2 linked regions of the Alligator mississippiensis genome follow. The protein of the gene in region 2 purifies or fractionates together with the protein of the main gene of each other region. This does not show direct contact. Links are inferred from orthologs where the notes say so. Each region holds a gene or a part of one and is shown on either strand. Other genes may lie near its edges.

Region 1 (7,510 bases), on a different chromosome or scaffold from region 2:
GTCGCTAATATTTTCCATACGTAGCTCTCCACACATCAGATGTCTCAAGCCATCCATGTCCACCTTTCAACTTCATTTAATGCCAACAAGGGGATTTACAATAGATACCAGATGCCTAGTAGGCTTAAGATGATCCAAAACTTCCAGTCATCTTCAAGGAAAACCTGTAATGGCCTCAAAGCAACCAACTAGAACACAAACACAATCCTAAGCATGTGCGAGATAAGAGCCTATAAATGATAAAGGACCATTAAAAAGCTTTAATTACACTTCTACTCTAGCCAAACTTAATCAGATCAGTGGTCCATCAAATCCAGGATCCTGTCTGACAGCGGACAATAAGATTTACTTCTAAAAAAAGCCTTTACAAATCAATGTACTCTTTCTGGATAAATTAGTAACTTGTAGATGACTTTCTTAAGTCCCAAACTCATTGCTTCAAATTATGTTTTCCAACTATGAGATCCACAAATTCACTCCCTTTTAACAAATCTGGGTTTGTAGCTGGCTGGTGTCATTTGAAACACCTCATAATGCAAAGTGGCTGAGTGCTCAGCTTCCTCCTGCCTTCTGCTTATCTTGTTGAACTACAAATCTTTTCAACTTCTTCATAATGCAAAGCTTGAAGAGGGACTGGCTGAACAAGGACTATGGTCCGACTTCATGCAGAGCAGATCTGCTGATTAAGACAAAGCTCCAGAGGACTTGTTATGAAGTGGCATTAACAGACCGCTAAACACTTGAGCTGCAATTGCAGATAAGTAACAGGGCTGTATCAATGCCCTTCTGAACCACTTACTATTTATGATAACTGCTAGAAAAAACAACAACAGGTTTGTTTTTTTTAGGACTCAGGCCAACATTCAGAGTGAAAATACACTTTAAAAACACAAAATAATTAGAAAGAAAGCAGCAATGTTGTCTTTAAGCCAGCAGATGTTTCCATCAAAAAGGATGGATCTGAATTGCAAATATATTCACAGAAAGATATAGTTAGATGCAAGAGCAGTAAAGCGCCCCACACCTTTTTTTAAGGGATTTTTTTTCCCCTACAGTTAACTAGCCAGAGCTCAGAACTGTGGACATGCCCTTTAGCTCCTTTTCTCAGGCTGCAGCTCTTCTCGCGCAGTCCTGTTAACACGAGATCGTGCTGGGCTTCTCATTAAAATGACAACCCAGGGGATTAAGCCCAATGCATGCTCTGAAACATTCAGATGCCTTTTAACTATCAGCTGTCATTTTCTTGCATTGTTTCTTTTCTTCAAGTGTGTAGTTCGGCGTTCCCTACAGAACTGGCAAAGTACCGTTTTACGCAAATTTACCAAAAGCAGAATTGCCAGAACTTACAACTTTAGCACCAAACAACAAGCTATTATTCAACGTCCAACTACAGAAGTTGGCAACCACACAGGAAATCCAACTCTATAGAAAAGCAAGGCACTTAAGTTTCAAAATGTGACAATCCAATTAAAAAGTTGGGATCATGAAGTTGAATAGTACAGTCAATTTGTCAAATAATAAAACATCAGACCCTACCCAGCCTCTTCTGGAAAAAGCAGGCCTTCAGTGTCATGTCACCTCCGCATTATACAGAGGCAGACATGGCAGGAATTAAAAGCCACACCTCAGCTGTAATTAAATACCTCTCTTTCACTTGTGTCATAAACCTCAGGATTCAAGTAATTTACATTTTCCTAACGCTCATCTGTGTAACCTCAAGATCTTACCAAGTTAGGGAGGAAAGGGCAAGACAGCAACTTGTTAAAAGCTCCCGGGCAGCTGGGCAGGAAGTAATTAAATTCCAGCGAGCTTGCCCGTACAGCGAGACACGCGGCTGCCCCCAGCTACAGCTCGTTGGTGTGCTGAGCGAGTCGGACACCGCTGGCCAGGCCCCAGCCACGCGGAGCCCGTCACCCGCTCGGCGCGGACGCCCGCCCGCCCGCCCGCCCAGTGACAGCCCGGGCGGCAGCGGCAGGACTCTGCTACCAAGCTGCGTTTTATTAACGCACGATGACTTCAGCACCTCGCCACGGCCCTGCCGGACGGCCCTCGCCAGCCTGTCACAGCTCCCCTCCGTACTGCAGAAAGTGTAGAACAGCCTCAAAAGCGAGGAAAGCTTCAGAAACCCCCTTGGTATCGCGACCGACACCAACGTGGCCCTCGGCTTCTTGACGCTGCTCCAAAAGGGCTCCCGCGGGCAGCGCGCTCTCAGGCTTAAATTCCCGCTGGACGTCAGTCCTTCGTAACCGGCGCTGCAGGGGCCCGAGCTCAACTCCGGAAAAACGCGCGGCGCCGCCTCTCGGCGCCGACGGCATCGCGAGTCGGTAACAAAACCCCCGCGCGCCTTCGCCTTCCCTTCCCCCAGGGCCGTGCCGGGCCGTGCGGCGGGTGTAACGCGGGGGCTCCGAGCCCGGCCCGGCTGCCGGTGACAGCGCCCGAGGGGTGGGGGGGCAGGCTCACCTGTTGATGAAGCCGTAGCCGTTCCGCACGTTGAACCATTTCACTGTTCCCAAAACCTTCGTTGCTGCAAGAGAGGAGGCGGAGGCGGCGGTGGCGGTGGGGCCGGGCACGTGGCGGCCGCACACAAAGGCCGCGCGTGGCGGACATTTTGAGGCTGAGGCGCCGCCCCGCCCCGCCCCGCCCCCCCCGCGCCACGCGGGGCCCAACGGCTCCGCGCCAACGGCCGCCCGCGCCCGCCCCCCGCCCCTCCGCGCGGCCCCGCGCTCACCGATGACCTTCTTGTCCCCGCCGGCGGGAGGCGCCGCCGAGGCCAGGCCGCCGCCCCCGTTGCCGGAGCCGCCGCCCGGCTTGGAGTCGGCGGGGGCGGCGGGCGCCGCGGCGGGGAGGGGGGCGGCGGGCGGCTGCGGCTCGGCCTCGCTGCTCATGGCGGCGGCGGCGGGGTGCGGACGGTGGTGGTGACTGGCTGCGCCGCTCCGCGGGGTCTGATGGTGACTGAGGCCGGCCGGGGGCTGCTCCCTGCTCCGGGCTCGCTGGGCTCCGCTCTCCGCTCCCGATCCCGATCGAACTGGCCACAATGGCGGCCCGCGCCGGCTAGCCACCCGCCGCGCCCCGCCCGCGCGCGGCCCCATTGGCTGCCGCCGCCGCCTGTCAGGCGCCACGCGCGCCCGTTGGCTGCGCTCCGCCACCGCCCCGCGCGCTCGCTGGCCGGCCCGCTTGCCCTTCAGGGGGCCGTCCAGCCCGTATGCAAGCCGATTGGCGGCAGGGCTTGGCTGTCACAGGCCGCGCGCGCCAATTGGCTACGCGGCTCGTTCCGGCCCGCAGGGGGTGTTTTTTCTCCCCCCCCTTTTTTTTTTTTTTTTTTTTTTTTTTGCTCCCGGGCTGGTTTCCCCGCCCCCCTGCAGCCTGATTGGCTGCGGCCCCGCCGGAGGACAGGACGCGGACATGCCCTCGGGGTCTCGCCCCGCCCCGCGGAGCGGCCGCGCAGAGCGGGCACGCGGAGGCTGCCGGCAGGCGGGCGGGCAGCGCCGCGGGGCCGCGCGTGGCGGGAGCAGGCCGGCAGCCGGGGTGCAGCGGGCTGCCGCGCCGCCAGCGCTTCCCCGCGGCACTGCTTCCCCCCGAGGCGGCGGCGGGGCGCGGGGCCGAGGCTCGCAGGAGGAAGTCTCGGTCGCTGAGCGGTGCGGTGCGCCGCGGCCGCCGGACGGACGGACGGACGGCCGCCCCCGGGAGCGCGGCAGCGCGGGGCCGGTGTAGGCGGGGGCGGCGCAGCCGGGCAGCACGATGGCGGCGTGGCCGCCCGCCCGTGCGGTGCGCCGCCCCTGCGCTGCGCGCCGCTACCGCTCGAGTGACAGGCCGGCGAGGACGCGCGTGAAGCGGGCTGGCAGGCCCCGCCCGCGGGGGATTGGCGTGCGCAGCCCCGCGCGCTCCCCGCCGCCCGCGCCGCGCCTCCACCTGCGCACCCGCACGGAAGGCGTCCGGGAGGCGCTGCCCGCCCGCCCTCCAGCGAGGGCCGCCTGGGCCGTCCGTGCAGCCGAAGCGGTCGGCGCGAAGGCCCGGCCGGGAGCAGGAGGCGCACGCACAGCCGGGGGCGGCGGAGCTGCCCGGGGCGGTCTTGCCCCCACGACTGACCGCTGCCTGGGCTGCGCGGGGTGGGGAGTGCCCTCCCGCGGGGCAGCGCAGGCGGACGGGCCCCACGTGGTTCCCGATGGTGGTTGCGATCCCGCGGAGGAGCGTTTCTTCACGGACCAGGATTACTTCCCCCGGTCAAAAACGTTCCAGGCCGAAGCGGGTCAGGGAGATGGCGGGCGACACCACTCTTCCCTGCAGAGGCGCCGGCACTGGCGCGGGGCCTGCAAGGCCCCTGGTCCTGCGCGGTAACGCGCCCGCGGCGAGGCAGGAGCTCACAGCGCGACCTGCGCATCGGACCCCCGTCGCTGCTGGGGCTGGTACCAGCCCGGGTCGCACAGACACCACCTGCTCGGCCTTTTCTTGTAAGCGGCCCAGGCCGCTCCAGGGCTGTAGCTCGTAACCGCCGCTCTGCGCCTAGTCGCGCTTCTAGCCAGGAGCGGAGCCCGGACGCCGAACCCCAAGGCTCGTGCTACCGCTGACCTGCAGATGCAGCACGCCAGTCCCGGGGGGCAGGTTAGCAGCGTTGATTCCCCCAGCTCGGGGGCCACGCTGACCACATCTGACAGCTCCGGCGTCGAGGGTTGTGGCTCGCCATCAGAAAATCAGACTGGCCCGGCCGGCGCGTGTGCGCTCGGGGCCCGGCCGACAGGCACATCCACCGTACTAGAGTTTTGAGAGGTGCTACACTTTTGCAGATATGAGCTCCCCGCGATGCTGCCCCACAAAAACAGGCGGGGGGGAGGGCAGGGGCACGCGCCACCGGGTAAACACGATAACCCAGGTAACCATCCGTCTGTCAGCCTGACCTTTATCCCCAGCACCCTCCGTGACTTCCTCCCACTCCTGTCGCCACTCCCAAGCCTCCGGGTGCCACAAACCCAGAGCGGAAACAAAATTAATCACTTATCTCTGCATGCTGCAACCTGCAGGGCTCCTGCTCCGTGGGGATCTGGGCCAGGCTGTGCCCCCAGCCCCACACTCGGGCATGTTACCTCCTTTTGCCCCCTCCCCACCTTCCAGTCACCTGACTGGGCTCTCTGGTCACAAGGCCAAGTGCTACCAGTCATCCCAGTCTGCAGACTGGGCCCAGCAGCCCTCGACTCTGCTGCAGCCACACAGGCTCTACACTCCCATGTTAGCTGCTCACAGCCCCTCCTGCAAGCTGCACCCCACCTGCCCTCTAGCAGGGGCCAGGGGTCCCGCTACACACGCCCCTCCTTTATGAGATGCCGGGAGGAGGCCTCTGCCACTATCCTCCTGTACAGCGGCTGAGGGGATGGAGCAGAGCCCTAGGGCAAGAGCTCCCAGCGTGCTGGCCACCAGGAAGGCAGAGCGTGGAGGCAAATGTGCAGTCATAGGGGGCAGCTGTTAAAATCATTTTCTGCTAGAAATAATGGGTGTGACAAGTAACATAATACGACTTCTCACACCACTGGCCCTGATGAAGGGCTGATGTCCAAAGAGCCCCGAAATGCTCTCTCTGTTCATTTTGGGCTCAGGAGCTAGTTTTCTGAATGGGTCTCTAAGGGTCTGGCTTTCTACCGACTCTTCCGTGCCGAGAGCGCCTCTAGGCAGTGCGACAGAGTTCATTTCTCTTTTCCCTCCTCCTGTTCTCTAGTGTCACAAATATTTATTAATACAAAGCCTCTAGGTGAGGAAGGTGCATCCAGGCCAGGCCCCTGCTGTTGCAGCGACCCACATCATACAACCTGGTTCATCAAGTTATATCAAACTCCATCTTAAAACAAGTCTGTTTTTTTGCCCCACTGGTCCAAAGAACAAGGACCCCTTTCCTCGCAGTGACAGCTGCTGGGTACCTGACAAGCCTGTGGGAGCCTGGTATTTTTCCAAGTCTTGCCTCCAGCCTATTTGTATTGTTTCTGCAACACGTGGCACGCACAGAACGCACAAGGCAGAGATACATGCCGTTAACACTTTTACATCTTTCAAATGACTTGCATGACCTCAGCCCTTCCTTTTCAGTGCTCACACACGGTCACAGCAAACTCATGCTCATGAAATCTTTACGCCTCACCTCATCTCTTCCCTAGTCATCTAAACGCAGGGAGTGGCAAGAGTGAAACAAGTGCCTCAAAATGGCCCTGGCAATTCCCTGGACCCCAGCCAGCACAGCCTGCACGGCATGGCTTTGATTCTGCTCAGGAAGAACTGAGCTTGGCTCCTTATTGCAGGGCTAGCGGACCCATGTCAGACTGCATGGCACTCCAACAGCTTATAGCAGCCAGCGAAGGTGCAGCACGAGGCAGCTCTGCCATCTCCTTTCCAACTCGGCCCACACCACATCCCTCCCAAGTAAGCTGGAGGCAGGGGGCAGCTGGTGCAGGAGCTCCTGTACCAGTGAGGCGCTCACCTGCGCAAGAAGAACTTGCCTTAGGAAGCCTCTGGCTACAAAGGTTGGTTTGGACTGATTATGTGGCCTTCAGGACAGGAAAGCTCAACCCTGACTATTCTAACTGAACACACTGCGCACACATTTATCAAAAGGCTTTATTTACATCTGGGACTTGGGGGGTTTTTCTCTCTCTCTTTTTTAAGAAAAAGTTGTAGACCTGGAATATCTGAAACTCCTGGTGTGAAGTGGCAACAGCACAGCTGTAACCTGCAGGATCAGGCTGAGGCAGCTGCAGGGACGCGTGATGTGGGAACAGTGACCAGACCTGGAGTGGACAAGGAACAAGAGCAGTTACAGGAACAGGCGCAGCAAGCAGAATGCACACAAGTCAGTGCCACGTTATCTGAGCTCACAGAACAAAAAGCTGAGGGTAAGAAAAAGAAACTGCGCTAGTAACCCAAAGCCTACTTACACACAGCGCTGCTGTGTAGCAATAGAGGACCATCCAGATACTTTGCAGGCCCCTGTGAAGATGAGGGTCTGTGCAGCATGCGGGGGTAGACAGAGCTGCCCCAAACAGGTGCAAGGAACCTCCCAGGTGCTGCAGCTTTTATTCCAAGGCTACTGCTTCTCCAGTCAGCTACCTGGGAGCACAGTGGAGAGCCAGCTAGTTGGAGAAGCAGTGCCCTTAGAAGTAAAAAAACCCAGCCGAGCAGCTTGTCTGACATTCAGCAGGTTGCAAAGTCCCCAGATGCAACGATTCAGGTCTTACTATACCCAGGGCAGACTGGATCACAACGGTATCTAACCCGACCTAATGGTAGGTCAGCACAATGATACTGGCTGCATTAAGAACAGGTGATGTCACGTGGCAATAACTGGGCCCTTCAGTGGGCTTTGCCGCCCTCATTTGAAGGGTTTCAGCTCCATGGCACTCAGCTCAGGCACTGAGTCTCAAACCTGCCCTGAATTAGGAAGTGCAACAATTGCTTCTCAGGCGTCTAGGTTTACTTGCCTCTTATGAGCAGCATGAAACATTTTGCTCTTCTGAAACTTGGCAGAACCTCAAAT
Region 2 (7,518 bases):
TGCCTGGTGTGATGGGGCTGGTCCTGGCTGGGGCAGTGTATGGTGCTGTGCCTGTCATGACAGGGCTGGTCTCAGCTGGACTGCAGGCTGTGCTGAGCCTGGCATGATGGGGCTGCCAGTGGCACTGTATTGAACACTGGCAGGGCTGGTCCTTGGCCAGGCTGTGGGCAGTGTTGTGCCCATCACTACAGGGCTGGTTTCACCCAGGGGCCATGGGCAGTGCTGTGCCCGGTGCTATAGAGCTGGTGTTGGCTAGGCTGCAGGCTGTGCTGTGCCTGGCATGAAGGGGCTATCAACATGGCTATGTCTGGCATGACAGGGCTGCAGGCTGTGCTGTGCCCGGCATGATGGGGCTATGGAAAGCACTGCGCCCATGTGAGGGCCCCAGTCCCAGTCCCACTCTCTCTGCCAAGAAGCCTGGTAACAAATGCCTGAACCCAGGCACTGGCCCAACCCACTGAGCCAGGGCTGCCCCACAGCACTGAGCCAGGGAGACAGGAATTGGGTGGGTGTGAAAGCAGCGGGCCTCAGTCTGTTTCCATCTGCTGCAGCTCTAGCCCCTCCCTGTGCTCCATGCCTAGCTGGGTAAGGGCCGGGCTCCTGCCCCTGTGGACAGGCCTCCAGACACCAGTCATAGCGGGTCAAACATGTGTGGACAGCCAGGCTCTGTAAGTCTGAACACGGGAAGTAACAGATGCTCTAGGCCATGGGCTGAAGGACTGTGGGAACCAGAACCCCTGGCTTGAGTGGCACCAGGCTTCTTGACCACCACTAGTGCCCCTTGCTGTGCCCTCTGCCCTATGTGGTGCCCCCTGCTGTGCCAGCAGCCCAGGTCCCACTGAGAGGCAACACTGCCTTCCTGGTGCCTGCAAGCAAGAGAAAGAAGCCCCCAGCCCATGCCTGGCTTGAAGCAAGCATACTTGGCACCCCTCACTGTTGCCGGCAAGGACACAGAGGACATGCTCTGGCCCCTAGGCTGCCTGGCATGGGAAGCTCGGACTGTGACCACATCCTGGCTATGCATTGGGAATGGGCAACTGGCACGACCCCACCCTGCCGCCAGCAGGGCCTGCTCAGAGCTATGTCCAGCTGCCCACCCAGCCCTGTGGTGCCTTCATGCCAAGCCTGACACTGGTATCAGGACCACAGGCTCCCAGCTTCCCCTGTTGGAGTCAGTCTGCCTGGGAGTGTGGAGCTGCCCAGGCTACAGCTTCTACACTAGGACGGACAGGATAGTTCCTCCTTGCATGTCCATCTGTCCTAGCTCAGGGTGGCAATATCTGTGGCAGGCAAAGTGCCTTGCCCAGCTAACCCGTGTGCAACAGACCCACTCCAGCCCTACCCGCAGTGGATAAGTTCTCACACTCTCAGAGGAGCAGGCAGGAAAACCCATAACCACATGAGTCATGTTGACAGGCCAGAGCTGGGAGACCCCCTGGACAGGTGGGCGCAAAAGTCCATGTGTGTCACAAAAGCGGGCATGACAGTAGCATGTTGCACGGCCCTGGCAGGCTCAGAGCCGGGAACTGGCATGAGGCGGGTCCAGCAGGCATGGACCAGGCCAGGTGGCATAAGCCTGCACTGCTTGGCCCAGCCATGTAGCCACTAAGGTTACTGGGGGTGTCACATGTGGAGGGCAGCAACCATGTGAGGGCTGGGAAGACGCTGACTGGGAAGGGTGATGCTGGCCGGGGCAACGCCTGATAAGACTGGACAGCATGCATGGAAACGGAGGGTTCTGGGCAGCGTGGGCATGGGATGCATTGGACGCGGGTGCTGGCATGGGCGTGGCCCATGTGCAACCTTGCTGATATGGCTCAAGGCAGGGTGGATGCTGCGGCAAGACTTAGTAGGAGCACACGTGCAGTACTGGGAGGGCAGGTGTGCCAATGAAGAGGGTGTGGACAGTACAAAGCACTAGGTGCGAGTGAGCCCAGACAAAACACCATAGGACTGGAATGAGGGGGATGGGACAGTGCAGTGGGGATCGCGTGACAGGGCTGGGACACTGGAGTTAGCATGATGGGGCCAGAGTGGCACAGGGGGGATTGACGTGACTGGACCCAGGCAATGCCAAAGGGCTGGTGCGCCTAGGCTTGGCGTGACTGGGCTGAGGTGGTGCAGGGAGGTTGGTGTTACCAGGGCTTGACGTGACCCACATGGCGCACACAGGGGTTTGGTGCACCCCGTGTCCAGGAGCTTCATGTGCCCAGCACACAGGAGCTTAGTGTGACTAGCACCTAGGGGCTTGGCATGGCCAAAGGTCTGGTGTGACCCATGGCCAAGGGCTTGGTGCAACCCACGACTGGGAGCTGGGCATGACCAGGGGCTTGATGTGACGCATACCTGGAGACTTTGCATGACATAGGCTTGGTGTATCCTGCACCAAGGGTCTTGGTGTGACCAGAGGCTCGGCATGACTGGCAGGGGGGGGCGGGGGAGTGCGACCAACACTTGGAACTTAGCATGACCAGTGCCCAGGGGCCTGGTGTGACCAGGGCCTGGCATGACCCATGCCTGGGGTTTGAGTGTGACGGCACTTGATGGGTCCTACGCCCAGAACCTTGGCATGACATACACCCCGGGCCTTAGTGTGACCCATGTCGGGGGGGGGGGGGGAGTTCGCGACCTGTGACCTCGCCCGGCCCCGCCCCCCCCCGGGCGGCCCCTCCCCCCTCCCGGGGCCGCTGTGACGCACCACGGTCGCGCAAACGGGGGGGACTCACGCACGCCCCCCTCTCACGCCCCCCTCCCCTCCCCATCCCTCCCCTCCCCACCGCCTCGCGCGTCGTCGCCGCCCCCCGCCCCCCCGACACAGAAGGGGGGAGGGACGGGGGTCCGGCCGCGCGCGGGGCACTCACAGCCGCTCCTCGTCGCCGCTCGGCGCCGCCGCCATTTTCTTCGCAGCGAAGAAACCCGCGGGGGGGGAGGGGAGGGGGGGAGGGGGGGGGCCAAGCCGGGGTGGGGGGGGCCAAACCGAGCCGGAGAGGAAGCCCGGAGCAGGCAGGCCCCACCCCCTCCCCGATCCCCTCCTTTGCCGCACTCTGATTGGCCGTGGGCACTGCCCGTCACGCAGCCACCGCACATCCATTGGCTCCCGCGGGCGGGCCGCGGGGCGGGTCCCCCCCCCGCGCTCCCCCGCGCGGCAGTTGGAATTGGCGGGAAGCGCTGTCAGTTAGGGCGGGCCCCCTCCGGAAAAAGTGGGTGGGGTGGATGGAGCGCGCGCGGCGGCTGATTGGGTCTCGCTGCTGCCGCTGAATGGGCCGGCCTCCTGCCAGTCACTGTAGGAGGGAGCGTGGGGGGAGCCCAAGGAGGGGTGGGGCGCGGCATGGCGCGGCGCGGGGCGGAGGGGTTTGAAATTCAACGGCAGTTTGCAACGGTCCCAACCGCTGCCCCGCCCAATACGTCATACTCATGTTCACACCAAAGCTGTCACCACGCTTATGTCAAGGGAGCTCTGGGACCCCAGCACACTATGCTCACACCAAGGCAGCTTCAGGAACCCAACTCACTATGCTGATGCTCACACCAAGGTTATCCCATGTCCACACTCCTGCTAAAGTGGCCCCGGGACCCGAACACACCACACACACTCATGCTTACACCAAGTCTGTCTTGTGTCCACGCTCATGCCAAAGCAGCTCTGGGACCCCAACATGCCACACATGTTCACATCAAGGCTATCTTATGCCCACACTCACACCAAGGTGGCTCTGGGATCCCAAAACACCATGCTCACATTCACACCAATGCCATCTTGTGTCCACACCCATGCCAAGGCAGCCCTAGGACCCCAACATGCCACGCTCACCAAAGCTGCCTCGTGTCCACGCTCACGCCAGCTCGAACCCCAACACACCATGCTCATGCTGACAGTCACACCAAGGCTGATCACCTTCACCATCCGCCATAAAACTGGCAAGTCAGTCAGCAATACAGAAGTCCCTGACTTTAGGAAAGCTGACTTTGACAAGCTCAGGAGGCTTGTCAGTGAGGCCCTAAGGGACCACGACCCCAAGGGGAGGGGAGTTCAGGAAGAGTGGCTGTTCTTCAAGGGAATGGTCCTCAATGCACAAGCTAAGGCTCTGTCTCAGAGGAAAGGCAACAAAAGGGCACAGCAGCCCCCTTGGCTCTCCAGGGAACTAGCAGACCTCCTCTGGCTAAAAAAAAAGGCCTACAAAGGATGGAGGACAGGATCCACCTCCAAGGAGGAATACTCTGCACTGGTCCGGTCCTGCAGGTAGCAAACCAGGGAAGCCAAGGCTGTGACGAAACTCCAGCTAGCTACAAGTATCAAGGACAATAAAAAGTCCTTTTTCAGATATGTGGGGAGCCAGAGGAAAACCATGGGCAACATCAGACCCCAGCTAAACCAGATGGGACAACTGACAACTGATGCCCAGGAAAAAGCCAACCTATTAAATGGGTACTTTGCATCGGTCTTTCATCAGTCCCACGGGACGCCCTTGCCCATTACGGGACAGGGAGACTCAGGTGAGGGAGATTCCCTCACACACAAGACAGCCTTGGTGTGAACATGAGTATGATGTATTGGGCGGGGCGGCGGCTGGGACTGTTGCAAACTGTGATTGATTTTTAAACCCCTCTGCCCCAAGCTGCACCATGCTTCGCCCCACCCCTCCTTGGGCTCCCCCCACGCTCCCTCCTACAGTGATGGGCAGGAGGCCAGCCCATTCAGCATGGGCAGTGAGACCCAATCAGCCTCCACACATGTTCCACCCGCCCCAACCCCTTTTTCCGGAGGGAGCCCACCCTAACTGACAGCCGGACAGGGAGGCCCAGGTGGGGGGAGATTCCCTGCCCTCCATCAATGCTGACCTTGTGAAGGAACACCTTGAGAGGCTGGACACCTTCAAGTCAGCTGGCCCTGACAATCTACATCTCAGGGTACTCAAGGAGCTGGCAAGCATCATAGCCAGTCTGTTAATGTCAGGTGCTGGGCTATTTTGTTCAACATCTTCATTAATGATGTGGACATTGGAGTCAGAAGTGGACTGGCCAAGTTCGCCGATGGTACCAAACTCTGGGGTACAGCACCCGCACCTGAGGACAGGAGGGCGATCCAGGCTGACCTTGATAGGCTCATGAAATGGGCGGACAAGAACCTGATGATGTTTAACACTGAAAAATGCAAGGTTCTCCACCTTGGGAGGAAAAACCCGCAGCATGCTTATAGGCTCAGCAGTGCTACACTGACTAGCACTACGGATGAAAGGGACTTGGGGGACATGATTGTCCACAAGGTGAACATGAGCCTTCAGTGCAATGCTGTGGCTAGTAAAGTGAGCAAAATGCTGCCTTGCACCCATAGATGCTTCTCAAGCAAATCCCAGGACGTCATTCTTCCATTATACTCAACCTTGGTGAGGCCGCAGCTGGAGTACTGCATCCAGCTTTGCGCTCCACAATTCAAAAAGGATGGGGAGAAGCTTGAGAGAGTCCAGAGAAGAGCCACGCGCATGATCAGAGGTCAGGAAAACAGACCTTACGACGACAGGCTGAGGCTTCAGCCTGGAAAAGCACAGGCTCAGGGGTGATCTGGTGGCCACCTATATGTTCATCAGGGGTGCTTACCAGGATTTGGGGGAAAGTCTGTTCACCAGAGCACCCCAAAGGATGACAAGGTCAAATGATCACAAACTCCTCCATAACCGTTTCAGGCTGGACATATGGAAGAACTTCTTTACTGTCCAAGCCCCCAAGGTCTGGAATAGACTGCCGCCAGAGGTAGTTCAAGCACCTACATTGAACACCTTCAAGAGAAATTTGGATGCTTATCTTGCTGGGATCCTATGACCCCAGCTGACTTCCTGCCCCTGGGGCAGGGGGTTGGACTTGATGATCTTCCAAGGTCCGTTCCAGCCCTAATGTCTATGAAATCTATGAAGGCTGTCTCATGTCCATGCTCACACCAAGGCAGCCCCAGGATCTGAACACACTATGCTCATGCCCACATTCATGCCAAGGTCATCTCATGTTCATGCTCACACCAAAGCAGCCACAGGATCCCAACATGCCATGCTCACACCAAGGCTGTCATATGTCCACACTCATGCCAAGGTGGCCCTGGGACTCCTGTGTTATGCTCATGCCACAGCCCTCCTGGATCCACACTCATGCTGGGACCCCCAACATGTCACACAAACCAAGCTGGCCTTGTGAGCCCTAACATGTCACAGTCATGCCACCACCCTCCTGTGTCCATGTTCATGGGGCTACCCACAACACACCACACTCATACTCACACCAAGGTGGCCCAGAACCCCCAACACATCACGCTCACACCACGGGCTTCAGTCTATGCTTATGCCAAGAGAGCCTCAGGAGCCTCAATACATCATGTCAAAGCAGTCTTGTGATCTCCATGTCACACTCATGCCACAGCCCTCCCTCCCCCCCGCTCATACCAGGACCCCCAACACACCACACTCACACCGTGGCACTGGGACCCCAAAACATCATGCTCACTTTGAAGTCATCTCATATCCATGCTTACATCCAGACCTGGACACATGCATGGGTGAACCGGGTGGCCACCTAGGGCCCGGATAGAAAGGAGGCCTGAAAATTAAAACAAAATTACAATTGCAAAAAAAGTTTTAATGCACATATACAGGATTGGCAATATTATCAACTGAGAACAAACTATTTAAAGACATCGATACCACAGACGTGATAAAGACCTTTGCAACAAGTCTGATTATTATTATCATTATCTCTGGCAAAGGGGGACCTGATACTCAAAGTTTGCCTAGGGCCACCAGGAGCCTAGATACAGCATTGCTTACACCAAGGTGGCCCTGTGACTCCTAATATTTCATGCCTGTGCTACAGTTGTCTCATGTCCACACTCATGCCAAAGCAGTGCATGGAATTCTACACGTCACTGTCACGCCACACCCATCTCATTTCTGTGCTCACACCAAAACAGCCTCATGACTCCCAACATGTCACACTCATACTAAGGGAGCTCTAGAACTGACAGCACATCACACTTGTGCCAAGGCAGCGCCATGTCTACACTGACACTATGGAGCCCCCTGTGAGTTTGCCAACATGTAACAGTCACCCCAAGGTGGCCCTACATCCACACTCAGACCAAAATGTCCCCTGACTCCCAACATGTCACACACACGCCAAGGCTGTCTCCTGTTCACACTCATACTAAGGCGCACCCCCCCCCAACAGATCACAATCACACCAAGATGCTCCCATGACCCCCAGCATGTCACATGCTAAGGCCACCCTATGCCTATGCTCATGGCAAGACTAACCCAATGCCCTCCAATATGGCCACCCTCATGCCAAGCCCCCTTGCCCCCCAGCATTTCACATGCTGTCCCATGACCACACAAAGCCATCCCATGCCCAGGCCATGCAGCTTTTGGCCACTATGACCATGGATCAAGCCCAGCCTGCCAGCAGCCATCTTCTGCAGGCTGCATTGAAACCATCCCTCTGCTCAGGTGAGGCTGTGTATGTGGGGGGAAGCTTTGC

Evidence for each region.
Region 1: the proteins of MECP2 (region 2) and YBX1 purify together in Homo sapiens (affinity purification with western blotting; 3 studies listed by BioGRID, with this or other methods). This does not show direct contact. The link is inferred for Alligator mississippiensis from reciprocal best matches to the Homo sapiens genes MECP2 and YBX1.

Annotation. Positions count from the first base shown.
Region 1 is NC_081836.1:1,388,993-1,396,502, reverse strand, and holds the start of YBX1 (Y-box-binding protein 1), read right to left. Parts: upstream 3,022-7,510; 5' UTR 2,886-3,021; coding exon 2,729-2,885; intron 2,525-2,728; coding exon 2,461-2,524; intron 1-2,460. UniProt on the Homo sapiens protein: DNA- and RNA-binding protein involved in various processes, such as translational repression, RNA stabilization, mRNA splicing, DNA repair and transcription regulation.
Region 2 is NC_081831.1:28,770,330-28,777,847, reverse strand, and holds the start of MECP2 (methyl-CpG-binding protein 2), read right to left. Parts: upstream 3,008-7,518; 5' UTR 2,897-3,007; coding exon 2,862-2,896; intron 1-2,861. UniProt on the Homo sapiens protein: Chromosomal protein that binds to methylated DNA. It can bind specifically to a single methyl-CpG pair. It is not influenced by sequences flanking the methyl-CpGs.